5 linked regions of the Xenopus tropicalis genome follow. The protein of the gene in region 4 interacts with the protein of the main gene of each other region in a pairwise test. Links are inferred from orthologs where the notes say so. Each region holds a gene or a part of one and is shown on either strand. Other genes may lie near its edges.

The links.
Region 1: the proteins of dcx (region 4) and mtus2 interact in binary tests that used the Homo sapiens proteins (3 or more experiments, as listed by UniProt). The link is inferred for Xenopus tropicalis from reciprocal best matches to the Homo sapiens genes DCX and MTUS2.
Region 2: the proteins of dcx (region 4) and rint1 interact in binary tests that used the Homo sapiens proteins (3 or more experiments, as listed by UniProt). The two-hybrid records come from large-scale screens. The link is inferred for Xenopus tropicalis from reciprocal best matches to the Homo sapiens genes DCX and RINT1.
Region 3: the proteins of dcx (region 4) and mid2 interact in binary tests that used the Homo sapiens proteins (3 or more experiments, as listed by UniProt). The two-hybrid records come from large-scale screens. The link is inferred for Xenopus tropicalis from reciprocal best matches to the Homo sapiens genes DCX and MID2.
Region 5: the proteins of dcx (region 4) and zbtb5 interact in binary tests that used the Homo sapiens proteins (3 or more experiments, as listed by UniProt). The two-hybrid records come from large-scale screens. The link is inferred for Xenopus tropicalis from reciprocal best matches to the Homo sapiens genes DCX and ZBTB5.

The regions. Positions count from the first base shown.
Region 1 is NC_030678.2:154,662,785-154,668,700, reverse strand, and holds part of mtus2 (microtubule-associated tumor suppressor candidate 2), read left to right. Parts: intron 1-2,714; 5' UTR 2,715-2,890; coding exon 2,891-4,972; intron 4,973-5,916. UniProt on the Homo sapiens protein: Binds microtubules. Together with MAPRE1 may target the microtubule depolymerase KIF2C to the plus-end of microtubules. May regulate the dynamics of microtubules at their growing distal tip.
Region 2 is NC_030679.2:77,078,201-77,084,116, reverse strand, and holds the end of rint1 (RAD50-interacting protein 1), read left to right. Parts: intron 1-870; coding exon 871-1,008; intron 1,009-1,357; coding exon 1,358-1,557; intron 1,558-1,829; coding exon 1,830-2,044; intron 2,045-2,577; coding exon 2,578-2,758; intron 2,759-2,833; coding exon 2,834-2,952; intron 2,953-4,032; coding exon 4,033-4,255; 3' UTR 4,256-4,650; downstream 4,651-5,916. Other genes in the region: efcab10 (EF-hand calcium-binding domain-containing protein 10), read right to left, coding at 4,736-4,778. UniProt on the Homo sapiens protein: Involved in regulation of membrane traffic between the Golgi and the endoplasmic reticulum (ER); the function is proposed to depend on its association in the NRZ complex which is believed to play a role in SNARE assembly at the ER.
Region 3 is NC_030684.2:40,258,089-40,264,610, forward strand, and holds the end of mid2 (probable E3 ubiquitin-protein ligase MID2), read right to left. Parts: intron 2,625-6,522; coding exon 2,216-2,624; 3' UTR 1,913-2,215; downstream 1-1,912. UniProt on the Homo sapiens protein: E3 ubiquitin ligase that plays a role in microtubule stabilization. Mediates the 'Lys-48'-linked polyubiquitination of LRRK2 to drive its localization to microtubules and its proteasomal degradation in neurons.
Region 4 is NC_030684.2:51,648,633-51,654,548, reverse strand, and holds part of dcx (neuronal migration protein doublecortin), read left to right. Parts: intron 1-4,142; coding exon 4,143-4,245; intron 4,246-5,916. UniProt on the Homo sapiens protein: Microtubule-associated protein required for initial steps of neuronal dispersion and cortex lamination during cerebral cortex development. May act by competing with the putative neuronal protein kinase DCLK1 in binding to a target protein.
Region 5 is NC_030677.2:109,092,487-109,098,938, reverse strand, and holds the start of zbtb5 (zinc finger and BTB domain-containing protein 5), read right to left. Parts: upstream 3,716-6,452; 5' UTR 3,218-3,715; intron 223-3,217; exon of another isoform or gene 26-222; coding exon of another isoform or gene 24-25; intron 1-23. UniProt on the Homo sapiens protein: May be involved in transcriptional regulation.

The sequences.
Region 1 (5,916 bases), on a different chromosome or scaffold from region 4:
GAATGCTGAAGAATCTCCACACATTATATCACCTTTATAAAGAATAAAATAAAAACAAATTTCTGGCGATTTGGAGGTAATTACCTAGTTTAATGGGGTGCATATGAATGTCCTTGTAGGGGAACACATAGGCTGGTGGAAAGTAAAGTGAAAATATTTGTGAGTTCAATATTTACCCCCAAAAGTCAGTAACTGCCATATCATCCTCCCTAACAGCTGGCCAGTGTGCCCATTTCTACTTGGATTCTCAACCCTTACTTGCTAGCAAGATGGAGCATCTGTGGTTGGATCCTTACTTCATAAAACTTTGGCTGCTCCATATTTCAAAAACATTCACTTACACAGTAGTCAGTTGAAGCCCTGAATTCTCATTTCACATAAGTAATAGAGTCATTTGCATTCACCCCACTAGGTTTATTAATACATGTAGTGGTCCCCTTTGGGTGGCCATTGCCATAAATAACACACCAGGAGGTGGGTATAAAGTGTCAAATTAAATGAGTGATCAAGTGTGAGGCTCATTGGGCTTTAAAAGACATTTCTACATGTGTATGAATTATGTGTTACAATACATATATATTATTTTGTGGTGACAACACCACCAGGGATATTTGCCAGATAAGCAAACAGCTGCATGTTACAAAGTATGGCGTCCAACTTATTCTCACATTCCATTATATTGATTTTTGGCTTTACTAGAGGCTGGAGGAGGCAAGGCACTATCATTATGGCTATTGAGCTTGATTTCCATGAATTTTACATAATTGTAAAGTTTTGCTCTGCTGCAAAGTTAATATCATTTCAAATCATTGCAGTGTGAGGAAGCCATATTTATAAACAGAATGTATCAGCCATATTATATTTGTATTCATGCCATGGAGTAGGATCAAGCCCTATAAAGAAGTAATCATCATACGCGCATAATGTACTAAGCAGTCTCTTCAGAATATAAATGGAAGGCTAACCCCACTTCCAAACAGTGTATATTTTCCATTTGAACATTTTGAGGAATGCAAGATGTATAAATATGTACTGGCTCTAAAAATATGATTGCGTTTTTCAGCTTTTGCCTTCAGAATGTTGTGCACCTAAGTGTTCTTTGAAGTGAATGTGTTCATAGGAATATAAAGCCTACTTCAGTTCAGTTGGTCCCTTAGTGGCCTGAATCAGGATTCTCAGGGCTTGTGTCAGCTCCATCCAGTGCTGTAACCATGTGCCACAGGCACCATTACCCCTTTATAGCTGAGACCCCTGTGGAATTGTGTTTGGTGCATGATATGATATCTGTAATTGAATTATTTATGTTGGCCGTGTAGTTAGTCCTTTATGTTACAAAAGAGATGTAACATCTTGGTGGAGTCAGCACATAATCATATGTATATGGTTACTCATTCCTTTGCCAGTTATAAATCTAAGCATTGTTCTTTTTATTCACTCGTTACCAATTAGGAGGGCATTACTATATGGTTATTAATATAAAATTATTACTATTTATTAGGTTTGTTGTATTCCCTAGGACAGTTATGACACCTTCTAAATAGTAATATTGATGCAATAACATGCCACTATGTCACTTTTCTAAAGAGTTATGAGTCTGCAGTGAAGAAAGTAAACTGATGTTTTTCCTAACAGAACTGAACCTCCCTTTGGTATTTAGTGTAGGGTAAGTCCATATAAAGCATTTAGAATTTTCATAAATATTAGGTAACGCAACAGAATAGCCATGGATCCACCTGTATATGTATCAAGTTCAAGGATATTTTACATTGCTATCCACCACAGCTCTCCCAAGAGAGTAAATCTTCAGTTATTTATTTTGTTAGGTAAAGAAGCTTTACTGAATTGCAACTGGATTGGTTCTTAATGACATGGCATGGGTTATATGGCTCATTAATATGTGATTTATTTAAGAAATAACATTTCTATATACCTGTTCTTTACGATACAGGTATATGGGTGCTGGAAGGCAACTCTGAGTTCCATGACCTGGTCATAGAACTAGTCAGTGACTTCTTTCAGTAGGGTTTATATTTAGCATATCACAGTGAAAAGAAAATCCTTCAAAGTTGGATCAGCAATGTATTTGGGTTGGATGCAGCCCTATGCGGATTCAGTCATGTGAAGTCTGTGCCAAATGTCAAAAACTTTAAAGAGTAGGGCACCCCCCTCAGATGAGAGGATTTTTTTAATTTAAACAGCTTTGTCCCCCTTAATCCACATCCAGGGTTACTCCCCTAAAGCTGTTACCCTAGACATGAACCCTCGGGTGCTGATATAGAAAATACATTCCAGTTTGAAGGTTGAAGGAGCAGGAGAAAAATTTTGGTGGCAACAAGAGGGAATGGAATTGTTGGTAGAAAGTGGGGTAGGAGGCAAATAAGTAGGTGAACTTGCTCTGGGAATCAAGTCCATTCTATAAGAGATGTTGTTTAATGAGATTCCAACATAAAATCATGAGAATATGCTTTGAAATGTTTGTTACCCTTTGTACTATGGCAAAAACTTTTAAAACACATCTGTTTCCCTTATGGAATTATGTAATAAATGGTGCCAGGGGCAGTAACTCATAGCAACCAATCAGCAAGTAGCATTGACTAGTCACCTGTTTGAAAACAAATATCTTATTGCTTAGTACCTTGTATTACATGTTGGTTAGTCTTTTATATACTTATGGAGAATCTGTACACTTACATAAATATTCTTCTCTTTTACAGGCTCACACATGCAACATGTTGCACTGAGGCCAACAAAGCCATAAGTCAACGTGGACAGAAATTGAGTTGGCACTAATGTTGAAATATGACGGCAATTTAATAAGTTACATACTAATACAACTGTCTAGAGGTGACACAATTTCAATCTGTGGTACTTATGAAACTGCTATTCCAAAATGAGCACACCTATGGTTTCAAGCAAGGAATGTTCAACTGGAAATTCCATTAACAGCAACCAAGATCAAGTTGACAACAAAAATGTGATCAGCTTAGGTGATAACAATGCCAACCAAATATACCCAACAGGGAAAACTCAGGTCTCAAGCAGCATTAAAAAACCAGGGGGGTTGTCCACATCACAGTCAGATCTTTCCCAGTCATGTGAGGAGCACAGTACATCGCTCACCTCTGGTCAGGATTCTCCATCTGGTGATCAGCCGTTGAGTGATCCAAAGTCACCATCCCTGATAGAAAGAGACATTAACAAACATTTTGTGACTGATGATGCTAAAGGCAGTTTAAAAACAACTGGAGCTTTTGATGGACATTCAAAGGCTGATGGACATTCAAAGGCGGGTGTGCTTGACAGAAGTTTGGTGTATCCTCAGAGCAGAGTTAGTGACTCTTCCCTCATTATGTGTAGTAATAACACTGGTAACCTATCACACAATGAACAGGTTAAAGGAATTTCCTTTCTGAAATCAGGTATGGTATCGACAAAATCAGAAACTTTTGCTAAAGGTCGTATTTCACCAACGCCATGTTTGATCTCCCCACCCAAGTATTTACAGATGCCAAATCACGGGATTAGGGCAACTAATTCATCAATACCAGTTGACCATTTATTTGGATTCTCTTCCCATACACACAGTTGCGGCTCAGAGGAAAAAAAGATTGTACTTTGTTCCAGGTCACCTACCTCAGATGTCCCTGAATTATCACTAGGCGAGGGAGCCTTATCAAGTGGTAATAAGCCAAGCACACTACATACCAGTCCCACAAGCACTGACCATCATTTAAGAATCCCTTCTAAACCTCAGGTAATTTTTAATATAACAGAAGCACAATTATATCAGGGTCAAACACAAAAAACTTCAGAAATTTCAGATTCCAACTTATTACAGTCTAAAAGAATTTGTCGGCACAAACAAGACCAGAGTACGATGACTGCAATTTCAGGTACCAAGACAGCAGGCAATATTTCCGAATCCAGAACATCTCCAGTTTCAAATCTTTATGCTCCGTTGGGTCATGTAGATATGTCCCAATGTTACAAAGTCATAAACCATGAAGACAAGAGTTTCGGTAGCAGCCCTAAATTATCTCATTTTAGTCTAGCACATAAGAAGCCGGATGAATATGCATCTGATATGGGGAGAGAGCTAAGCACCAAGCCTCTTATACGAAAAACAACATCACTCAGCGATTCCCTGGATAATAAACCACTTCTACATAAAGACAGAGGTTCACTTGAAAGTTTTCTTTGCCAGGACAGTGACAATAATTTTGTTTTAAGCAGCAACATGGCTTCCACAAAGGATAAAACGGCTTTAGTTGAGAGCAAAAAGGCAATTGTCGGGAGAAAACATCAGTCAGATGGTTTAAAAGGCAGCATGAAAGACAGCCAGAAGGATCTAACTGATACCTTTTCATGTGCTCCCATTTTACCAGGCCTCGTGACTGCAGTAAATATTAATGATCAGTGCATTGCCTCACCGAGCAGCTCTGTGGATCTTAATGCTGTTCATGTTGACAGATTGTCACCTTCCTCAGTTCTGCCACCTTTTGATGGTACACAAGTCTTAAACATTTCCCCTAAAGCCACTAACAAATTGCTTTGTAGTAGTGGAATTCCAAAACCAATACTAATACATTCCAAGCCTTGCCTTGCAAGTAAAGCTGATACGGACACCAATGACAATGAAAAGCCAGAAGAAGCACCTGAACCAATTCTAATCATCCCTAAACCCAAGCATGTCCGACCTAAGATTATTACCTACATTAGAAGAAACCCTCAGACAATAGACAGACTTCCATATGGTCCAGTAGGCATGCCTTTTGGTTCCCCTGCTTGCAATGTTCCAATGGCAAGAGACCATGAGGTCTTAGGCAGTGACATTAATGCTTCCAATGTCCTACTAGATAAATATAAAGCAGACCTGCAGAAACAAAGAATATATGCCGCTGGTTTAATGGTGTCTGGAATAAGGCCTCCTGGACATCATTTTGGACAGATTAATGAAAAATCAATAGACGAGGTAAGTGTTCAATGAATGTTCTTGTCCCCGGTGTCACTTTTGATCTCTCTTAAAAACGTCCATTTTTTTAATATATTATTATACCAATCATTATTTACAGAAGAAAAGTTTAATCTCTATTTTTATAGGTTTTTATTTAATCATTTCCTGTCCTTGATAGTCTTGATATAAGTTTTGAGAAGGGGGAGCCCTGAACATACTTTGAAGCAGAAGAATTTTTGAACCGAAACCACGAAAAACCACTGATCTATTGTCTAATAGTTGGTAACAGTAGGGATGAGAGACATTTTTCATCTAATACAGATTTCTTTGTGAGTGCCTAAAATGTTTACAAATCTGGGCTTACATTTTGCAATGCGATCTACTTTGCCAGTGAAAAAGTTGCCGAAACACCACTTCAGGGATGGAGCCCATTGACTCCAATGCATTTGGCTACATTTTGGTGAAATGTCACTTTTTGTGAATTTTTCTGTGGTTTTGCAAATATTCCAGCAAAGCAAAATGGGGCAGTTCTGCTCATCTCTAGTTAACAATCTTGCCATTCAATAATACCTGTATCTTCACACCCTAATGGGCTCATTTACTAACCATCAATTTTAGACTTGATTTGAATTTTTTTTTTAAAAAGTTGCAGAGAAAAAACACTGATTTACTATGCATCTAAACGGCTAAAAATCCAAATTGACAATTCTTGCAGTTTATGTAGAAGTCGATGGCAGAGATTCCTTCCCTTTCCTTAAAGTTTTTTCTTTTGTCTCAAAACTTTTGAGATTTTACTGGGTTTTTTCTGAAAATATGGATGCACCGAAAATAGGGATGCGCCGAATGTTAAGGGATTCTCCCGAATACCGAACCGAATCCAAATCCTTATTATTTGCTAATTAAGATTCGGATTTGGTCCGGCTGAATCCGAACCCTGCTGAAAAAGGCTGAATCCTGGCCGA
Region 2 (5,916 bases), on a different chromosome or scaffold from region 4:
CTGCCATTATCTGCATATCAGCAAATAATAATATTAATGACATTGGCTACTGATTCCCTGTGATGGAGCTGTTTGCCTCAAGGCAAGGTAATTTGATTGTGTACAATTTGTACCAGTTATGATGGCTAAGGCTAGGAGGTGTTTTCTCCACTGGTGTGTGATCTGCTGCCCTCTGCCCTGAGTTTTAGTATGCCCTGAATTTCACCCCCTGTGTGCATTGACAGTCAGCTACCATGCTTGTTAGTGTGTACTTGGATATACAAAAAAAAGTTCCCAGACAAGAAAATATGGCTCTACTTAGACCAATGCAGCCTCAGACAAACAGAGCCATGGCTTGATATTGCAGAACAAAAAATTAGTTAAGTTATATTTCTTTCAACTAGATTTGTGATCACAAACGCATAAAATAAAGACCATGATGCTCACCTTACAAATACAATGTAAGTACGCTTATGGCAGGTTTCCATTTCATTATATACAGTCAGCTTGATACATGCTCATTCTTAAATGCACTGTAATAGATCAATCTGGCGTTCAGTGGGTGAGCTGTGCAGCTGTGCCAGCAAATCACTAATGAATACGGGAAAGAGGCACCTCTTGTGAAACTATTCGGCGTGCGAGCCGAATGCCAGCACAGCCTATATACTCGAGTATAAGCCAAGCATGAGTTTTTAAGCACATTTTTCGGCTTATACTCGAGTATATACGGTATTTTCTTTTGGTGAAATTAAATGTAACTCCTGCAGTTGTTTCCTACTTTTGACTTGTAAAATGAATTAAATGTTATTTAGCAAGGGCGACAAAACGTTTGCATTGAGTATCATCTTTTCAAAAGTTTAAAATGTGTTTGTTGCATCAATGTTTTTCTAGTGGCTCTAGAAAAGATGGATTCCATGCTGTCTGCTGAGGCTGCCTGGACCTCACAATATAAAGATATATCTGATGTGGATGAAATGAAGGTTCCAGATTCTGCTGAAACATTTATGACTCTCCTACTTGTTATCACAGGTAACTCAAAGGCTGTCCCAAACAGTGCTACCTCAGTCTACTTCTTTTCATGCTAGGAGAGCCCACTATAACAGATATTAATTTATCACCCAGTGACCAAATGCTACTTTGTTCATTTAACTATAAGGCTTATAGCACATGAGCCAAAAAAACTCAAATAAGCTCTCTTGCAACCTGTTCATGTGAATGGAATCTAATTCTAATAACATAGATGTGGCATATGAAATAAATGAGATCCTTGAGCATTGCTACTATGTATTCAGACTTTTAACATGCAACTACCCATAGTTCCTCTGGTGGCCCCACTTATTATAATGTTGATGGTTGTATGAGCTTGTGTTTTTTTTAGACAGGTACAGAAATTTGCCCACAGCATCCAGAAAGCTAAAATTCCTGGAGCTGCAAAAGGACTTAGTTGATGACTTCAGGATACGTTTAACACAAGTGATGAAGGAAGAGAGCAGAGATCCCCTGGGCTTCAGATATTGTGCAATACTCAATGCTGTCAACTACATTGCAACAGTTCTTGGAGATTGGGCTGACAATGTTGTAAGTAAGACCCATACTATTAATTGCCGCCACTGGGGCATACTCAGTCTTTTATTCCTCCTATCCACACATCTTGGAGAGATGAGATGGAGGGGTAACAGTTATATGTAGTCTGCTTTAGGCATTAAAACACCAAGACAATGTAGCTAGACTTGTGTGACCATTGCTTGTCTGCATTATTGTTCCTTTGTCACTTATCAGAATGCAGTGCTAACTTCCATAGCTCAAAATTTAGTTGTGCCCTTGCCCTAACTTTCCTTCTGTGTTTCCAGTTTTTTTTACAGCTTCAACAGGCTGCTCTGGAGATTTGCACAGATCTCAATGCCAGCAGTAAGCTACAGCTTGGGCAGCTGGCTTCCATGGAAATATCTGTCTTCGATGACCTGATCAACCTTCTGGAGCGTCTAAAAAATGACATGCTATCTCGTCAGGTAGAACATGTATTTAAAGAGGTCAAGGAGGCTGCAAGAATGTACAAAAAAGAAAGGTAAACGTAAAACCTTCAGATTCTAATCTGCACTTTCTAATATTCTACCACTAATATGGCAGAGCAAAAATTTTAATTCTTACTGGCAAAACTAAAAAAAAATATGCATTTTTAAGACTCAGTTCATAAACCATAAGAAATCAAATCACCTGGAAAATTTCTGTTCCCCCCAATTCATTTTTTTTTTTGTTAAAAATTTTCAAATACCTTTGTCCTTTAGTAAATACAAGTGTTTGTGCATTGACCATTGCAGTGTTACAAGAAGTTATTACAAAGCAGTACCCAAAAAATTATTCAGGCACTGTGATACCCCTGCTTTGTAGGTATTACAATCTACAGTATGTCTGGTAACATAAGCATGTTAAGTGACCTGCAAAAGCCATGTCAACAAAAAATCAATTAGCTATAGATATTACCATATCTATCTGTATTCTTTTTTATCAATAGCATGTAAATACATTTTTAAATCTGATAAGGAAAATGATTGCTGCAGGTTGTTGCTAAACTGACCAAAATGTTATTGGTTGTTGCAGGTGGCTGTCACTGCCTTCACAATCAGAACAAGCTGTCATGTCCCTGTCTAGCACAGCCTGCCCAATGCTTCTGGCACTGAGAGACCGCCTCTTGCAAATGGAGCAGCAGCTATGTCATGCTTTGTTTAAAACTGTCTGGCAGATGCTTGCTGAGAAGTTGGATCTGTTCATTTATCAGGATGTTAGTACTCATTTCAGCTGAAACATATTTGTACTGTATAGGCACAACTCATTTATTGAGCTTTATTTTTCTTAGATAATCCTGGCAAATCATTTCAACGAAGGGGGAGCAGCACAGCTACAGTTTGATATGTCACGGAATCTCTTCCCTTTATTCTCTCACTATTGTAAAAGACCAGAGAATTATTTTAAACAGTAAGTGATTACGCTCTATAGAATGTCCTTTCCTGTTGCCTGGCCCAGTTACAGCATGCTGAGGGATTTTGCAGGGCTGGTACTGTGGTGCCATGGACACTAACTAAGAACATTAATGTGGTTGGTTCCTAATGCTATTTCATGCAACACTGATCCTTAAAGCTTTAACTTCAACCCAAACATATATGTTTGCAGTACAGGATTGGGGGGAAAAAAGGTATTCACAGTTCCTGAATTTTATTTACCAGGAAGTAATTACAATTGGATATTTTAATAATATAGGCAGGAAACATCTTTAATTTGAATACTTACTGGGACTGATGGAGAATACAATCATGTACCTCCATATCAAACCAATAGAAAAAAAGCAGAAAGCAAATATTGTGTATTTCATCACAATTTGCCTTTATTCTCACAACTACTATTGAGACTGAGAATGAAAGGTGCTATGATGCTATATTCACGAGGAAGTGCGCTGTCACAAAACAATTAAGACCTCAAGCTGTGTTTTTTAGATGTGCAAATAAAGGTTGATCAATTTTAATATTAACTGTTGCGGCTTTTTATGCTTACCTGAAGTGCACTGCCAATGTGTGAAACTTTGTGACATGATGCTACTGGTTCCCCAAACAAGTCCAATACTTAAAAGGGTAAATATAAACCTGTGTTCAAAGTAAACCAGGGCTTATATTGGGAAATTGTGGTTAAGTTAATATGAGCATTTCTATTTTGGCGCATATTAAACATGAGGATATATTCTTTACAAATGTTACTGCCAAATAACTGCAGATCTAGCCTCCATGCAGAATTAAAGCGAAGACTCATGCATAAATATATTATATATATATATATAATTTTTTTTTTTTAACCATTTTTGTTAAGCTTTTCCAGAAAAAAGCCATGTTCATCCGCATAAGTTAATTGCTGTCCCTACATAATCGTATTTTCAATATTGTGTCTAAAGGCCCATAATTTGTTTCTTAAAAAAGAGAAATCTTCATAGCCAGGTGTTTCTGAATTCTGCTTTTTTGGTAGTGTGGAGAGATCTTCACATTCATATATATTCTGCATCCCCAACAGTGTGAAAGAAGCCTGCATCATCCTGAATTTGAATGTGGGACCAGCCCTGCTGCTAAAGGACGTTCTTCAGACTGCCAGTGAGAGTATGAATGCATGCAGTTCTAACGACAAACTCCCGTCTTCAACAGCTGCCTTGAATGAACTTGGGATCTATAAGCTAGCGCCACAAGATGTTGAAATTCTTTTCAATTTGCGAACAAACTGGCCAAATGCTGGAAAGTAACACTTCCTGAAGTTTCCTTTACATTGGTCAAGGTACATTGTACAGCTGTATAGCAACTGCAATGTGATCATTAAAACTCTACATTTTTACCACTGCCCGTTAACTACTAGCAATTCTTTACAGAGCTTACAGAGTATCATTCACATCAGTTCCTATCCCAGTGAAGCTGGCAATATAAGGTCCTTATCACATTCACTCAATACACTAGGGTCAGTGTTATCAGGAACCAATTAACCTACCAATATATTTTTGAAAGTGGGGGGAAAAAAACATGCCAATCTGGAGAGGACATAAAAACTCCTTTCAGATGCAAGAATCAAATATAATATCATATTGTTAAAATCATCTTTTTTTTATTTTGCAAAATAATAATAATAAATTCTTTTAAGGTTTAATTGCTGAATGTTATCTTTAACAAAATACATAGACACAAATCGCAAAAATACAAGTAAACAAACTGAAAGCTATATAGTAAAGATGCTAAGATTTAAATGTTGCGCAAGCAGATTTCAATTGGATCCTCCTGCAGAGAAAGAAAATACAGTAATAAATTCATTATCCATAAGAGAACACTAATCATAATAATAAAAATTTGGCCTGGTGGGGGGGAAAAAAAATAAATACTTGCTTCCCCGATCTCTCCCATGCTCTAAAATAATTGTACAAATGGTGACAGGACTGTGCGCTTCAATAAATACAGCACACAGTCCTAGCATCTTCCACCAGTGGTGTATGATTTTAGGACAGCCTTAAGTGTGGATGATAGCAAATACCCACAGTAAACTCTCTTGACAAATATTCTAAAAATTCTGAAGTGTCTGAATTCTATAAAACTTTTCAGCACCCAAACACAGAACCTATTCACTTTTGTGGCTTTATGTGATATTATTGGGGACCATATTTTATCTGAAGGGTGGTTGTTCAAAATGACAATATATATATATATATATATATATATATATATATATATTTCCTCTGGAGAGAATCCTCCCCCAGTCTTTTTAAAACCAATCTAAAAGACTACCTTTTGGAGCACTCACCCAGCACCTGATCTGGGAAATAGCACTTATATTGTAATGTCACCCACTGTGACCTACAGCACTTATATTTGCCTATTTGTGTCTGTAAGTTACCCTCCCATATAGATTGTAAGCTCTACGGGGCAGGGACCTCCATCCTCTTGTGTCTTAACTTATTGCAACTGTATCTTGTATTATTTGTATTTATTGTTATACTTTGTATTTTTTTCTACTATCTTATTAACCCCCTGTTTGTATTAATGTATTCTACTGTACAGCACTGTGTACATAAGTAGCGCTTTATAAATAAAAATATACATACATATATATATATATATATATATATATATATATATATATATATATATAAATAGTCACATTTAAACAACCACCCTTCAGATAAAATATGGTATTTTTATTGTATCGCCCTGAATACATCAATACTTCCTGCCCCTGATATTATTTGCCAGTTAGTAAAACTTTATCATAATATTAATGTGAACTAAATGTGATACTAACACCAACAATCTGCTTCCCTTAAAGCAGAAAAAAAGATTAGCTGTATTGACTACTATTAGTTATGAAATCATGTATATATCATATGAAATCAGTGATACATTATGTGACTAACACAGGTCCAAT
Region 3 (6,522 bases), about 11 Mb from region 4:
TTCCTTGGGCCAGGTTGGAGCTGCAGAGTGCCATTGAGCCCTATGGGAGACTTTCCTTGGGCCAGGTTGGAGCTGCAGGGTGCCATTGAGCCCTATGGGAGACTTTCCTTGGGCCGGGTTGGAGATGCAGAGTGCCATTGAGCCCTATGGGAGACTTTCCTTGGGCCGGGTTGGAGCTGCAGAGTGCCATTGAGCCCTATGGGAGACTTTCCTTGGGTCAGGTTGGAGCTGCAGAGTGCCATTGAGCCCTATGGGAGACTTTCCTTGGGTCAGGTTGGAGCTGCAGAGTGCCATTGAGCCCTATGGGAGACTTTCCTTGGGCCAGGTTGGAGCTGCAGAGTGCCATTGCGTCCTATGGGAGGCTTCCAAAATCATGCACAGAAGGATCAAAGTCGGAAAGGTTTTCCCGCCGTTTACGATCATTCGATATGAAAATTGAGTGACTTTTGGATCACCAATACGATTATCGCGACTATTCCGATTTTTTTCGTTAGCATTTTCGTGATATTTGCGATCATCAGAAATTATCATATCTAATCCGAATTTTATCCATTTTGGGATTCAAACTCATACTTTGATGAATGTGCCCCCTAGACTCCTACAAGAAGCAATTTCTATCCTCCATAGGTGACATAAGCCTTATGCTGGGGCCAGACAAGTACCTGTCAGTCAGGCAGTGTTCCTCTATGGATGCAGCCAGATAGGCAGGAGTATCTATAAACACTTTCTTGGCAACACTATGCCCCCACGTGGGGTGCAGGACAATATTAAGCATTTAGCATAACACCAGCATTGACTGAATGTACAGGCCCGCCAATCTCCCCTGAGCCTTTGCACAATAGCAGTAATGTTTGAAGGCACACCTATTTTGTTGGCCACAAACTAGACATCAATGCATCAGGAACAGCAACAAGGCAAACTGTATATAGCAGTGCAACAAATGTGTCAAGCTCAATGTACCACTTTCCTATAATTTATTGTATTTTAACTACCATTGGATCAGGCCAAAAACAAAAATCATTGCACCAAATTTAGCATCCATGGACTGAGATGATCTAATAAAGTGTCTTTTAATGGAAAAAGATTTTTGAGTGCTAGCCATAAAATGTACGTGGTGGTAAGCGACTGCCGCCACATTCCCCATTAAATATTTACTTGCATGGAAGTGCTGATTTCAAGTCACACCTAATTCAGTGGTTCACAGTGGAGCCCCATTGGCTCCTATAATGTGTTTGTGCTCATTTAACAGCATTGTGTCCCCACAGTTGTATCTCTCTAGCTCTTAGAAATACAGTGCTCCATGCAGAAAGCAGTGTCAGGAGATGCAGCCCAGCCCTTTAGGCAGGCGTTAAGTACGGCGTCCCAAAGCAAGCTGCAGCTTCTTCCACTTATGTAATGTGCTTGTGCAAGATAGGGAGCGGGAGGGGAGGAAGCCTACATGCCCAATGCAGGTCGCACTTAATCCAAACAGCAGTCCACAGAGGCCAGTGGCTACACAATGACCAACGCAGTTGATAAAGTGCAAAAAAATGCCAGATTGTGAATGACCCCTATATTGTAGGTGCACTTGTGTCACAGTAACACTTCCACCTTAGGCTAAGCACAGGTCCTTTCTAGAACATTTCTACATGATGGAAGACCTTAAATGAACTAGGAAGGTGGCTGAAAAGTCTGGCATTTTGCAACAAAGATTGTTTGCAACCGTAAGGGGAGAAATTTGCCTTAAAATGAACTTTTACTATGATTCAGACCATGCATTATAAGACAATTTGCAACTGGCCCTCTGAATTATCTACATCTTCTGTTGTGCATCTGTTTTAAACAGTTATCTGGTTGCTAGAGCTTATTTACCTAGCAACCAGGCAGCAGATGGGAAGAAATAAAAAAAAATTAAGACCAACTGGGACATTGCTTATAATAGGTCTCTCTCTAACATAGTAAAGGTTTATTTAAAGGTCAGCTTGTATGGAAATAATATAAATAATACCTGGAAGAAATACAGTGTAATTTTTTTTTTTTTTTTTTGCTTTCTGCTTGCCATTATATAAGAAAATACACAGAGCTACTTTCTGATCTTGAATTAAAAGAAGAGTGAAGAAGTCTTTGTACTGAACAAACTACAGATATATTTGTTCCCTGGGGCTAGATTTCCCATCCAAGTCCTTTGCTGAATGAGCCATGTTGAAGTTGGTCCTTGGGGATGAAGAAGTCTCATTTACTGGCAACCCTTAAGCCCAGAAACATAGGGAGACTCCTGAGGTCTGGATATAGTTTCTTGCGGCTGAGACATAAAGGAGTCCATAAAATCCGGAGCAGGGAGTCCTGAGAGTATCAACACAGACTTGTTCCATATAGTGAAGGTTGGGCACACAGGGAGAATAAAGGAGATGGGGAAGGTGTGCAGGTGGAGGGAGTTGGCTGGATCATAGAAGGAAAGTGTATTATTATCATAGTCTAGGAGAACACCTAAACGTTTCAACTGAGGATTCACATCCAGAAGAGCTTCTTTGTTATTGTGTCTTACAAGAAAATTATTGTTGCATCGAGTGAAGACCCACGAGGAGGTATTCTTCCCAACCCACTCATTCCTTGGAGCGGATTTATAGGCGATTCCTATTGCATACCTGGAGGGGGAGAAAAACAAATGTAAAAAGGCGAAACCAGAACATATATGCTCCTTGCTGCAGTCTTTATATTTGAGTCATTTTACTTGAAACAATTGATGGAGGGGTATTCCCTTAATACAAATGTAGTGTATAATTACAAAATCATTTTTAAACATATTAAAACATATAATATAGTACAGGTGTGGGGCCTGTTATCCAGAATGCTTGGGACCTGGAGTTTTCCGGATAAGGGATTATTCTGTAATTTGGATCTCCATAACTTAAGTCTGCTAAAATTCATTTAAATATTGAATAAACCCAACAGGATTGTTTTGCCTCCAGTCCAAGGTACTGTTTTATTATTAGAATTATTTGCTTATAGTGGAGTCCATCGGAGATGGCCTTTCTGTGTTTTGGAACTTTCTGGATAACGGGTTTCTGGATAAGGGATCTGATACCTGTACATACCAAACACAGTGTCCCAAAAAAAAAATAAGCACTCAAGGCAGATATGTTGGTGTGTGGGAGAATACCCACGAGCAATTTTACTTGCCCAGTGTAAACACATGACAATAAGGACTCTTGTATTTCAATGCAAACAGAGTTCCTCAACAAAGGTGCAAATAAGGTGACACTATAAGATCCAGGAAGCTAAAATGTCTATTACAAGTGCTATGAAAAGACAATTTACATATACCACATAGGCCCACCAGTATACAAGAAAAACTCAGCCCTTCACTCACCATTTGGCCTTGTATGCTGTATATCATGATCAGTTCAGATTACGGTATGAGAACAAAACAGGGGAAAAAAACTTAAGGGAAGGACAGATGATCCTCTTGGGGTAATTTATTAAGTGCAGGGCAGGGTGCACACAATAACCCATGTTTTTTGCAGTTTGTGCCCTGTTCTGAAACTTAAAAAATTGTAATAGGTCTCTGCACACAAAAACGGAGCACAAAGACCTGTATCTCCACCTGTGAACAGACTGCTGCCTTCATGATGGGCGGGTGTAGGCAAGTAGGCGTCCTGCCACACAGTTACACAAGGCTGCCCAGTGTCCAACACCAACGCAATCTGCACTTAGTGATAGATTTCCAATCCAGCGCTAGGGTTGCCACCTGCCCATTATTTTACCAGCCTAGCCAGGAAAAAATGATTCTTCATTCCAATGTTATTAACAGGGAAAAAGCATACAAATATAGGAAAGCTGGTAGTTTTTTCAAGAAAAGGTGGCAACCCTATCCGGCATGGGGTGCAGAGTGCAGCCAGACCCGGACGCAAGTGCATTATAGTACACTATGGGGCAGATTTACTAATCCACGAACGGATCGAAAGCATCCGAACGCGTTTTTTTATAATGATCAGTATTTTTGCGACTTTTTTTCGTCGCCGTTGCGAAAAAAAATGGATTGGTTTTTCCATCGTTTACTATCGCTCAATACAAAAAAATCCCAACAGCGACAAAAAAGTCACGCAAAATACGGTAAACTAGGAGAATAAAGAAGGCAAAAAAAGACAGGAGGAGCATTATTTTGAAAAATGAGCCCTTGCACGACATTGTAAAAAAGCGATATATAATAAACAAGAGCCATAATTATATATCCTTAAAACTGTGCTTGGTAATGTCATCAGTTATATCTGTGCTTAGTGATGTAATTTATTTATATATATATATATTTTACAACATTTTCCAGGTTGTCATAACAAGCAGAATAATAACCGAATGCATTGTGCATCCCTCTTTGACCGATATGTCAACCCTTCCTCCTTTGAAATCATTGCGTTAATCTAATTATGAGAGGAAAAAGCAAATCAATTCACTGTTTATTTGACGAGAAGAGATTTGTCTTAAGTGTCATTTAATGGTAGCAGAAAGTAAACGTTTTGCCTCTGCGTATCTGTGCCGAGACCCTGACTAATGCACAACAATGTTAAAAATGCATTAACCGCACACTGTCACTTGCATGGGATTCTGGGTAATATGTCCGCACAAATCAAGGATTTTGCTGGTGGCTTTTTATTCTATTAACTCTGCACAACACATTTTTTCTGCTGCAACCTGAACATTACCAACACCTCTGCAGAAAGGAGTGGGGTAATTTTACGCTTAGGAAGCCTGAAGTGCTATGTACCTTATTAAAAATGAATGTTTGAGGACTGCACGCTGCATGTTAAACAGAATCAGCGTGAGATTTTAAAGCCGAGCCGACAGCATCATTGTAATAGGAGTTGTCAGGAACCAACTGACCACATAGTGCAGGACCCGGGGGGGAGAGGGAGAGTGCAGGATTCACACAGGGCCATTAAAAGTTATAATAACTTGCTCAGACGTGCATTCAGTGATTTAACGTGCAGCGGCGTAATTTGATGTTATTGAGCCCCAAAGCAAATTCTTTATAGGGCCACCCCCACCTCAGAAACCATAGGCATGAAATCAGCTGCAATTCCTTTAGTGAGGACCCTGTCTCTGTTATTTATACCCCTGGGCACCTGCGTACGTTGGAACCTTTCCTATTTTACCTTTCTTCCCTATTAAATGGGATTGGCATCAACTATTAAACACTTTGCTGGATGGGGGAAACCCTACCCCTGGGCAACCTGCTCCTGCTACACTGCACTGATAATACAGAGAGTAGCAAGGAGCAGGTTGCACCCAGCTTAGATATGGCAGCGGGCGGCCTCTTATACCTAAATACATAACTAAGGGTACATTTGCAGCTCCCCAGAATACTGCGGCAGCTATCAGCCTTCATTGGGTTGGCTTTGAAGTAAATGGATCACAGGGCTCATCGGCAGCTGAGAAGCTGACCTAGCGTAAAGGCAAATAAATAGATGCAGGCATGGGGCCACTAATGCACAAACAGCCATAACTAGAAGACTGGAGATGGGCTGACCCATGGGTTCCCAATCTAATAAATGACTATACAGAGCTCTTACAGGGGAATGATTATTGTCCATTTATTTTTTTCGAGTAATGTATGAAGAAAAAGCCTACAGACCCTTCCCTCTCAGTAAAACTGAATTAATGCATAAGGATGCCATATATTTTTTATAGAATGAAGCAGAGAAACTCAAGCTGTTCATGGTGATTATCACTGTTGCCATTAAGGTCTACAGTCAGTTCTGAGTCATTATAAGCCATATGTCAAGGAGCAATCTGCCCATCACGCCGCTATGCTATACCCTTATACTATAATCTATTTACTGAATGAACAGCATACATCTGAAATCCTACATTGTAACTGGTACTTTATCCAGCTTTTGTATTTTAATATACATTACATTCTATTCACTTTCTATCTACTTCTATCTTTTATCTGCTGCCAAAACAACTCCCCCACCCAACCCACACACATTCAGCCCAAGGACTAGTCTATACAAAGGAACTTTAGATAAAAGATATTCAAGGCACAGAGCACAACAATATTAAAGTTAAGGCTAAATAAAAAAGATCATGCTTAGCGGAATTATGCAGAACTTTCATAAGTGCATATTAAAGGGGTAATTCAGCTTTAACATGAAGTAGACATTGATATTTTTTTCCCATTTACAATTATTCTTTATTTTTTGTGGTTTTTCAGTTATTTAGCTTTTTGTTCAGCAGCTCTCCTGTTTGGTATGTCTGCAGCTATCTGGTTGCTAGGTTCTTACTTAACCCAGCAACCAAGCAGTGGTTTGAATTAAAAAAAATGGAATATGAAAAGGAGATCGAATGAACAGGAATATAAGGAATAAAAAGAAACAATAACAATAAAATTATGAGCTTACAGAGCAATAGATTTTGGGCTGCCGGGGTCAGTGACCCCTGTTAGAAAGCTGTGAAGAGGCAGAAGATGAAGGCAAATACAAATAAATAGATAAACAGGTAGTTGCAAAGCTGCTAGGAATAGGGCATTGGCTCTTGCTGCAAAGT
Region 4 (5,916 bases):
CAGGATTCTTTTATTATTAAAAGAGCATAGTTAAATTAGGGATGGATGAGAAAAGGAAATATGCAGAGATGGATTATATTTTTGAATGTCAGGAACATATTTTTCTATGCAAACAGGTGCAAGTGCAGCTTCCTTATCAGGAAGAAATACAATACAATACAATACAAAGGATATGTAATATAACAGGATGACCTGTGTGGCTAATTTGCTTATTATTTAACATTCCTTATTTATGTAGTTAAATTATTTCTATTACAGTACATAGCTGGCTAGGAAGGAAGAAACAGCTTATCATTTTGGCATGAAAGTCTTCTATGTATATAAATATATATATATATACTTTGTATATATATATATATATATATATTTAAATTTAATAAAATAGTCCATAGGGTGCACACCATTTGCAGCAACAAAACTTGGGTGCTAGTACAAAAAAAATGCACTGGAACAAGGAAAGCACTCCTAGGATTTAAAGAGTTGTGAGCAAAATGTAAATGCAAAAATAGAAAATTTATTACTTGACATTTTGGTCTCACACAGAAACTTTCCAGATGAATAAACCTTTCCATTTTTGCATTTACATTTTGCTCACAATTCTTTAAATCCTAGGAGTGCTGCCCTTGTTCCAGTATATATATTTATTTATATTTGCAAAAGGAGAAGAACCCCTTACTTACCTAATGGAGAGTCTATTACAATTTACATGAACACACATAATGAGACAGATGAGAAGGAGTTAAAGTACTTTGCCTTGGTGCCAAGTATGATATCACTCTCCCCAGTCAGTATCCTGGCAGTGGGTAATTACAGACAGCAAGGCAGGCAGCAGTGGGTATAATTATGAAGATAAGGATACGCATGTGGGTAATACTTGAACCAGCAGGTCTCTCCTTAGGCCACCAGCTTCAGAGACTGGCACAATTTTTCAGACCTAGGGTCAGCAGCTGTTCATTTAGTCAGATTAAATAAACTGTAGATGCCCATCCTTAAAGGAGAAGTCCTGCACTACACAACTATAACTGTACTAGTTGTGCATTCTCACTTTGCTTTTTTAATTAATAAACTGTTCCATAGAAATCAAATCTCCCAAACTGCTGTATTCAGCTCTTCCCCTGGCATCATGCCTTAAACAGGTGTTTTGTTCTTACCAGGGGAGCACACTAGCAGTCGCCCTGTGCTGCTACTCTCCTACACAGCTAATGTGCATGTCATTGGCACACATGGTAAGGGCAGGTGGGGAATGGAAATCAGGTTGTTGCCTATTTTGGGCTTTACTTAACCAAAAGGGCTGGGAGGTTTAATTTAGGGGGACTCACTGCCAAAAAAGAATAGGGAACAGATAACACTTACAAAGTGACTTCTTTAATATCCCCATAAATAAATAACAAGCCAGACAGTGAGTAATTACCAGTCTCCCCAGAATGAAGCACCAAGGGACACAGATGCTTATATAGTGTGTCTGAAAGCCTACAAGGCCAATGCCATAAAATGACTTGGCAAAGCAGTGTCTAATGATTGTACCATACCCAGGAAACACACAGTAAGTGTGTCAGTGGCTAATTATAGCCAGAAGCACATTGCAGAGTGAGACAATGGCTGATTAATTGCAATAACACCAGAACATACAGCAGGACAGGCAGCGGCAAGAAAACAGGTGTATAATGCACTAGAAAAACAAAGCAATGTGTAGCCTGATGTAATATACACTGTACAAGAATATTAGAAACAAATTCCTAGATCTTAAGCTTTTGGACATGGCCCCATTAACCTCTTTGTGTGTAGGTCCTACATTTCAGCAATGTCTGTCCCCCAAGGTAATCCATTTAATCACAATTCACAACCTGTAACTTGAAAATCCTTGTGTGTGTCTTCCCACTGATATTGTCATTGCTCTGCAGTGGGCCAACACAAAGTAGCATTTGATAATAGCAGATGCTCAGCTGCAGTGTAATCTGGGCCGATGGTAGATTCTATCCAACGTAAATGAGGGAGGGTGGTAACAATTCAATAGGAAAGGCGTAGCATTGCTCCTCATGATTGCTCTCCTATTGTTTGTGACAGGCCTGCTGTGATGGGAGGTCCCCTATCCAGCCTCTCTTTGTTTTCCTAACTCTGACAAAATGTGCACTTTTAGATCTCTCTGCCTTTAGGCTGCTGGGGACGTTACTATAAATACACAGTATAATGAGCTGATGAAATTTGAATCAAATTAGTAGCTTTCTTCCCCCAGCAAATAATCTGTTATCAGCTCCATTCCAAGCGCCTTGAGACATTTCTAGCTGGCGTCCTAGGGAGGCGTTTAAGATGATTAACTCCTCTGGTGCTAATACCAATTTCTTTCATCTAAAACCTTACCTGGCCATACATGTAATGATCAAATCGTACAAAACCTAGTTTTGTATGATTTTCAGACCGTGTGTGGACTCCGAATTATCGCCCCAATAATTTTCGTATCATGGCGATCAGTGGTTTAGTCGCTTCGTTTGACTAACAAAAAATTCTGCAAATGTATTGTGTATCATGTGATATCCTTGGGGGACCTACAGTGGAAGCCACTTTCATATGATTGGTGTCTGCCAACTATTTCATGTTCAGAACATCCTCCAATTTGTATTTTTAGGGCTTTATCTTTAAACAGTTTCAGTTTGAATGTTAGTTTCAGATCTTTGCATTTAAACGCATGACTGATATCCGAACATTCATTGGAAGAAGACTAAAATCTGAATTTTGGAGTTGTATGGAGTTAGAGTTGTATGTACCTCCATGTATAAAGTCTGTGAAAGCTATTATATCTAGGGCAGGCTTTGGCAATCCACGACCCCGTGACCAAACAACCAAAGGCCATAGGCTGTCCACCACATGCGCAGGGCATTGCAAAAAGACTGTAGACTTTGCCTGAAGAACAAGAATTATGAAGTGCTATAACGTTCAGAACTAATTGACAGTCTATGGCTATGGAAATCTGGTGCTGTAGTTCAACAAAAAGAGCTGAATGCTAGATATTCCTCAAGGTTGCCACAAAGACAGTGTGAGCACAACTAGCTCCTCCCTTGATAAGCGTCCAACACTGTCCTCAACCTAATGAGACAAAAATATGTAAAACAAGAACATGAATCACTGCCTCACACAACGGTTTGAGCAGTACAGTGCATATTCATGGACCTTGGGTCATGATACTGTATTACGTTGGTGAAATTTGGGCAGTTCGGGACATGGCATGTCTGTGGTTCAGAGAAGGACAAAAATATTTCAGTTTTCCAGTCAGAAACATAACTGGAAAGAATCAGAGCTTTGTAGCACAAATGTAGCAAAGAATGATATCAGTGTACAGTCCCATTTTTCTCAAACAATGGGTCAATGGGCTGAAATGTAACATGTTCTTGGGTCAGATTATATTAAAATGATACTATCATGCTGATAGTTTATTTTTTAAGTATTTCTGTTTCATTTTTATTGGATATGTTTATGTTGGCCTTGTCTCCCTTACTCTAGCTCTAAATCCTTTAGTAATTTAGTTGGTTTCAGATGAGGGGGTCATTTACCAACCTCATATGGGATTGGTGGTACAAGTTGTGTTTTTCAGCCATGGGAACCCTGTACTTAAGAAGGAGGTAAGTACAGGGCTCTCCAGTGCCTTGCAGCCCCTGGCCATCCCTAGCCTGTGTATCTGAATGAACTATCCCCCCCCCCCCACACACACACACACTGTACCCTCTGGTCAGTGCTGTTGAATGCAATGTTCCATCCAACTGAGGAACAGGTTAGGCCAAATACATCAAACAACTTTGGCCAGATTAAAGCATGGCAAAACTGCTGCTTTGTGAGATAAACCTATCCCTTTAGATTTTCCTATTAAAACAGAAAGTGACACATATCATGTAAGGCAATTAGTTTTCCCATAACAACAGTAGAAAGATGTATCCTCTCTAACAGCACTAGGCTTATGGTGAGACAGGATTCATTACTGCTGTAGGAATTCTTTCCTGCCATAGGAGATCCAGTGCCCGACACTGGTCTGGAGAAAATGAAGCTGGGCTGTGTCCCGCCAAGATACGTCATAGGTTGCAGGGCTGTTGCAGCATTGACCCCTGTCATAGTTATTAAACTCAAAACTAACATTGCCTTTACTTATGTTACAGGTAACCTGTCTGCACGATTTCTTTGGGGAGGATGATGTGTTCATTGCCTGTGGCCCTGAGAAGTTTAGATATGCACAAGATGACTTCTCCCTGGATGAAAATGGTAATGTCAAATGGGATTAGATTGTGGCAAATCCTTGTCGAGGCTATGTAGTATAAAAAGCTCACTCATGCGACCCTATGCTTTATACCTGTAGCAGATTGGAAGCTCTTTTCTTTGTTTATAATTTGTTTCTGTTCAGTCACACTGTTTGTATTCTTCTCAGAAAATGCTGGTGCTTTTTATATAAACTATAATAATAACTACAGCATTATTCTAAAGTTACATCAAAAGAAAATATATTTAGTTACATTTTGTGAGGGTGACAAAGGCATTGCTATGTGTCTTTCTATTTTATAACCATAAGAATTAATGGAAGCCTCCTGGAGATTAGCCTTAGGTAAGTTCATTATGGTTGAGGGACAGAGTGACAGTGAGGTGAACTGTAAAATTCAAGGTTTAATAACAAATATAATTGTCAGGAGGTTTTTTTAAGCATCTTGGCAGAGGTTTGTTGTTTATTTTAGATGAAGCATCTGGCAGAATATTGAACCTTAGGAAAATATAAACTTCATCAAATTCTGCTCCATATTTGATTCCAAATCTATTTTATACATACATGTATGAGTAGTATGTCTGTCCTTAATTATCTCCCTCGGTAGCCACTTGATATATTTCTGCATATTATACACGTACAGGGAATGAACACATGGTGTGTCTGTACCCTTCCAATGTAACACCTTTTCTCTGTTGCTAGGACTCTATGGCTAATGGCACACCTAATGTTTCTCTACCAGCAACGAAATGGCAAGCCCCCACCCCTTGTGTCCAGTAATTGATCCCTTGCGACAGGCCCAAAACTGGCCAGATGTGTATTTGCGGTAGAAAACCACCTTAACTATTGGCATTAGTGTGAATGACAGGAGGCAAAAGGGGTATAAGGGCATTTCTCCACTGAAATTCACTGGGAGAGAAACATTTGCCATTAGCCTTAATGTGTGCTAGATTATCACTATGGACAGTGAGTCATTCTCAGCGTTTCTTATTTCAGCTCTCTATAAATATTTAGTTTGCCGATCTGCTTAGTCAGAAAGATCTGTTCGAATCCATTTGCAGAACAGTCATTTGCTTGGCAACCAATTCATTTGATACAAACTCAATTGGATTCTTTTTCCACATCCTCCCCTGCAGTCGTGCAGCTAAAAATACACAGATTGCGCTCACAGACATAGTGGATATGATGTGGGTTTATGTAATGAAACAAGGCCATTCCTCGATTTCAAAACTTGGCACTGCGCGGATATTTTACATTTTGCCTGACTTCACATATGTGGGGTGGGGTGCCCTCATGGCCCAGGGAGAATACAGAGGAAATTGATTTTAGTGTGCATCATTTTACCAAATATGATGATTTACAGCAGGCTTCCCTGAATCACCTGATACTCAGTGCTGTACATTTTCCACTTAACTTGCATATTTGTATTAAAGGGGAAGTTCACTCTAAAATTAACATTACGTTTGCAGTTTGTCTTTGTTTTCAATTATTTCACTTTCTGTTCTCTAAACTAAAGCTTTAAATGCCTATAGTTGCTATGGTAATTGCTAGGGTAATGTATTTTTTTGTGTCTCTTACCTTTAATTTATCTATCAGTCTGTCATCTGTTTTGAATTTCAAAAGAATGTAGAAAATAGAAATAGAAAACAAAATTTAAAAACATTCTGAAACCACAAAAA
Region 5 (6,452 bases), on a different chromosome or scaffold from region 4:
CTTTTCTAAATTATAGCACTTACATCCTAATAATGAAATACCCCCTTGGTTTAGAAAAAACAGCTTACTACAGATCAGATTTTTGGTAAGCACTTTATCAGATGGAGCTTCCTCTGTTGCACATTGCAAAATATCCGCTCAGCGATTCCTGGCAGGTGCATCCTCCTGTCAGTGCAAAGCCTAAGCTGTGGAGATAGTAGATTTCTCACCGGAAACAGAGATCTGTGGTGATTACATATGTGAAAAACCTATTGCAACCATTGGTCTGAAAGTGGGTAATGTTTTATAATTGCAATATATACTGTATAGTTTTATTAAATTCCTCTTTATGTGACATTTTCATTCTTAGCAAACAGGTAACAAAATTAAAATAAAACATCACTATTAATAAAAAATATGCATACAATGTTATACAGGTATGGGACCTGTTATCCAGAATGCGCAGAACCCGGGGCTTTCCGGATAAGGGATCTTTCCGTAATTTGGATCTCCATATCTTAAGTCTACTAAAAAAATCATTTAAATATCATTTAAACCCAATAGGATTGTTGAGGATGAGGATTAATTATATCTTAGTTGGGATCAAGAACAAGGTACTGTTTTATTATTACAGAGAAAAAGGAAATCATTTTTAAATATTAGAATTATTTTCTTATAATGGAGTGTATGGGAGATGGCATTTCCGTAATTCAGAACTTTCTGAATAATGGGATTCCGGATAATGGATCCCATACCTGTATTTGCTTTTCTTGAGGCTTGCTGGTTAGAGCAAGTTTGTGCGCTGCTTTCTGTGTATCTCGCCACATGCCATCATGCTTCTTCTTTGTCACTGTGTCCAGTTTAATGGACCAGTCTGTTTCTCTTTATACTACACTGTAAAGTGTAAAACATCATTGCTCTCAGTCAAGCATTCATTACTTTATTTATAAATTCATACTTTCTGATCTGTGTTTTTTTACTATTATATATGGCACAGAGTACACATTGATGAGTTTATTTTTGTTTGTTTGTTGTCACTTTTATGCTAATGACAATTGAGCATTTTGACCTGTAAAATGCTTAAGTAAGTTTTATTTTGAATGATAATGCTGTGTGCTTCAGACACGGCACTTTAAGGGCAGTAGCACCTCAATATTTGCTGGATGACTAGGGTGGTCAAACATCCATTGTGCCAATAGCAATTGGTGAAACCATGGGTGTTATATGCTTTGTGAGAAACCATGTTTGTTGAAAAATGTAAAAACAACAACTATAACTGGAAAGATTAGAAGGTTATTAAAATGTATATAACATTGTATTCAAATAACCAAAACAGATGTAATAAGAAGCCCGTTATCAAGAAATCTCTGAAATACAGCAATGCCATTTCTCACAGAATCCCAGCCCCAAAGTGAAAAGGTTAGCTTTTTAGTTCTGCTCATTCCTCTACTGTGCTCCCAGACCCTGGTCATAGAGACGATAAGAAAATGACAGGGATTTTGTGCTTCTACAGTAGTACCCAAAACCAGTGACATTTTCAATTACTGGAAGCACTAACCTGGGGTCTCAAACAATTACAATCACTGTGAGGTGCTAAAAAATGCCACCCCCTAGTGATTATGGCTTTCTTCTCCTTTAAACAAATCAGTCATTTTTGAGTGGTTTACTTTTTCTCTGTAATAATAGAACAGAGCCATGCACTTGATAATATCAAAGCTAAAATAAATGTATTATAAAATGACTCATCTAAAAAAATACCCCCAAGTCCCAAACATTCCAGATAACAGATCCAATAATCTGTAAAACTTTCCCATCTAAGTAGTAACCAGAACTTTTAAAACTTTAAAAGGCTAAATGTGTATCTGCAGTTTCTTGGAAGAAAACACTGTTCTTAGGAATAACTGTGTATAGTCTCTAGTGTGCATCTGCTATATGGAATTCATATATGGAAGTACAATGAGGGACAGACAAGTCAGTAAGTCAGAGAGTACTTATATAAATGCCGCAGCATCTGCAAGTGTCAGCCACTGAGGAGCAATCCCTAGGTGTTTAAAGGAACAGTAACACCAAAATATAAAAATGTATAAAAGTAACTAAAATATAATGTGCTGCTGCCCTGCACTGGTAAAAGTTGTGTGTTTACTTCAGAAAGTCTACTATAATTTATATAAATAAGCTGCTATGTAGCCATGGAGGCAGCCATTCAAAGGAGAAAAGGCACAGGCACATAGCAGATAACAGATAAAACACTACTGTATTCTACAGAACTTATCTGTTATCTGCTATGTAACCTGTGCCTTTTCTCCTTTTTTCCAGCTTGAATGGCTGCCCCCGGGGCTACACAGCAGCTTATTATATAAATTATAGTAGTGTTACTGTAGCAAACACACCAGTTTTACCAGTGCATTATATTTTTATTACTTTAAAGCTCTTTCATTTTTTGGTGTTACTGTTCCTTTAAGAAGTACTACTTTGTCAAATTCCAGGGCAATTTTCACCTAAATTGCCCCTATCTAAAACACACAATTGCATGATTCAAGTGAACGCTATTAAACACAGTATGTAAATATGGTAAAGAACGAAGGGCAATAGCACATGGTGAGATCTTGGGCATTTTCCCTGGCGTTTATTTTAGTAATCCATACCCAAAGGGGAATAACTGGACTGCATTTTGCCCCTAAATCACCTTAAGAGACACATGAAATGGGGAAGCATCTATGAAAAGCAAAACCTTCTATAGCCTTAACCACAATGTGTGGAGCATTTTGACACACTCTACCAGTCAGTACACTCAGACTTAAGCAGCATAATTAAGCACCCACCAGCAGTAGGATCATGGGAAATGTAGTCCAACAAGAGCAGCATTGCAAAGGAAATGCTTATGACCACAAAGTATGCAGTACAAACTAGTTAGATATGCACAGCATGCCCAACTTCTATGAATGAGAGTCCTTGCATACTGTGCATTACAGATTTGATTTAATACATTATACTTACAAGTGACAATCCCTCTCATTAAGTAGACATTTCCCTTACACATAAACAAAGCTAGAGTTCCCCATGTCGTGTAAGTACAGCTCACAGAACCCATCAGCGATTGCAGGTAGTTGTAGTTGGATAGCTGCAAGGCCTAGTTAATTCACACGGTAAGGCAAATATTATACAAACAAGTGGCTACGAGTACGGGGCCAGTTGAAAAGGGTCTGTCACTTAGAGAGCCTGCAGTTTTCCCCCTCACCTGTTTGTGCCTGAAGGCCCAGGCCTCGGTCACGCCGCGGCCTCTTTGTGTCTGCCAGACCGCTCCCCCTACCCGGGGTCCTGCTACTAATCCCGGCCTCCTTAGGCTACCGGACGTGACGAGCAGACCGGGCGGAGGCACAGCAGACAGAAGGGACGTAAAGCTACCGAGGATGGTAGTTATGGGAGGGCGGAGACACAGTGTCAGACAGGCGGAGGTGCTGCAGACACCACAACCTCTCTGTTCCTGTCTACCAACCCGCCGCCGCTTGACAGTCAGAGGGAGGAGACGCTCGCTCCCGCGTTTTGGTGGGGGGGACGTCGCCACTAGATTGCTCACTTCCCTCGCTTCAACCTGGTGTGGCACTAAGCACGTCTCGCTGACAGTCACGTCTGGAATAAAATCTTGTTCAGAACATAATAATTTAGGATTATGAGTGAAAAAAACTCCAATAGGCGCTTGCGTCCGTAATTGTGAGCACTGTTATCCGGTCAGGCGCGCTCACTCATACATAACTCTTGCGCATGCCTACAGACTGGCACACACAGGGCAGTGGGAGTGAATGAAGTTCAGGCCACTGAGCGAGTTGTCGCTTTTTCTCCGCCTCACGGAGACTTACATTAGTATGTACAAAGGCGCTTGGCACGTTGGAAACGCCTACATAGAACTGTCCTGTAGGTGTCGCTCTCACAATTCCTAAGCGCACGGATACATAGGGTCATACTGTTAACAGGGCTTGTTTTCCGCGGCTCCTCCCACTCGGCAGTCGGGAAGTGCTTTACTGCACAACAAGGTGCACACGTGGGTGCCGAGAAGTGGCCGGGGAACTATGGCTTCTAGAGCTACATGGGAATATCATGGCGCCCCACAACATGGCAAGGGAGCTTTAGTAGGTAAGGGACTGCGCATAGATACGTCTGGTCAGTCCTCTCTCTTACAACATTTTGAGCTGAGACTGTATCCCTAATGCTTGTTAAATTGATCTTGTTTATTTAATACGTATAAGCGGTGCCATCATTATGGAATGCTGTAGCTTCCAAGGCTGAACCTGTAGGCAGGGATTCTTGACCTATGCATGGGACCAAAAAATGAGCCACATAATCCCCAGGACAATGACACACTGAGCTACTTGTAGCAACTACAAGATAGACAATACTGATAATTGTCTCTGTGTGTTTTAGCAGTGACGACTCAGTGCTGTCTATGGCAGGATATTTTCTGACTTTTTGTAGCCACAGCAAGTTTGTGTGTCATAGCCCTTATGGCTGATGTTCAACAGGGAGACTATTGGTCCAAGGTTAAGGGCAGTGGTACACAGGGAGACTAATATCCCAGACATGTCATCCCGCCAGCAAGAATGTAAATCGCCGGTGGGATGGCATACACATTGCTTCCGTTTTCCAAAGTTCCCTTGTGAGGCAACTTCAGGCGACCGAAGCGATACATATACCATCCCACTAGCGATTCTTATTCTTGCTGGCGGGATGGCATGTCGGGGAAATTAGTTGCCCACGATAGTGAAGAAATATCACGGGCCACTAATCTCCCTGTGTTCCACTGCCCTAAACCTCTTCTACCTCGGGCAGTTTACCTCCCTAAAATGCCTTTCCTCCTGCAATAAAGTGAATCGTCAGTGGAAAGGCATACACGTTGCTGCCTTTTAACAAAGTTATTCAAAGATTCCTCCTGCAGAAAAGTTTGTGCAGCTTTGGAAAACGAAGTTTGCTTTTCCATCGGCAATTTAGGGAGATTAGTCGCACACAGTACCTGGAATGAACTGCGGGCGACTAATCTCCCCATAGGCCATTGCTCTTAATGATGTGATGGTCTTAACCAATTATATCACAACCTTTTCACCTGAATAAAATAATAAGTTGTAGGAAAATGTATCTGCATGATGCCAGAAATATAAGAGAAATGTTCTTCCCATCCCCAATAATGTTTTAATCACCCAATTTCCTTTTATGCAGTACAGTTTTCCAATGGAACTATCCAGTCCCCTGAAAGTGTGAATTTCACTTTATACAGCAACAAAGATGACAACAATCCTAAGGCAAAAAGACAGAGGATTCTGGTAAGAGCATCATGACAGAAGTCACACTGTGATACACTTGTTAATATCCTCCATATTTTTCAATTTTTTTCAATATATTTCGAGTTTTTTAACCACAATTCGAATCGTGCTATTTTTGGTGTTAGAAAACTTGAATTCTGAAAAAAAATCAAACTCCAACATTGCTAAATCACCCCCTTAAGTGTCAGCTCTGCTTGTTTCCGCCTGAATTTTATGGGCAGGCGGAGAGAAGCAGATCCACTCTTCTGCAGCTTGGGCCATCTGCGCTCTGTGTAGCTGCGCTCAGGCTGAAGCTGTACTTGTCTACACACAGCTGCAGAAGAGAGCACATATGCTTCTGAGCTGGGCTAATGCTTAATGTGACTTTAGCTTTACACTTTTAATTTTCTTATCACTTCTATTCTTAATCCCCATGCATGCACTGCGAGAACCTACTCCATGTATATAGTAACCAGCTTTAAATGATTAGAAAAAAATATATATAATTTTCTACCTACTAGTACCCCCTCACTGCCTCCTGAAATGCTTTTGCTTATCCTTTTTAATTGCTTTTCTGGGTGCTTTGATGTTCACATTCACCATCTTTGATGTTATGATATCACTAAGATTCGTAATGCAGAAAGCCTTGAACAATTGAGCATGCTCCAATTCCTGGGTCAGGGGTTGGGTGAAGATCTCAGCAGAGATGTTGAGATCTCACCCACAGCTCAGAATGCGTTAAGAATTAAAGCTGTATTATTTCAGAGGGTGTCACAATTAAACTAGTTGTAAATGGTTAAGTAGGCTAACAAATTCTACACTTTACATTTTTAGGCTGCGGAAACTGACAGACTGAGTTATGTAGCTAATAATTTTACCTCCGATGCAGTAAAGAGCAATTCACTGTGTAGGTAAGGGCCTTATGTCTTTTGTCATAATGATTTTTTTTATTGTATGTGAACATTTCATGAAATAAGAATTTAAATGCCCTAGACAAGAGTTTTACCCAAGAGGACATCAAATATTCTGGATATCTCTGAATTCACCAGTAAATGGAGCCCTTTTCAATGGATTGCTGAGCCACCACACATTCTAGTCCTTATTCCCTGTCTTTCTGACCAAGGTATTTAGTAAACCAAACTTCTGAGATTTTTTTTTCCAAGTAAGGGTAGTGGCACATAG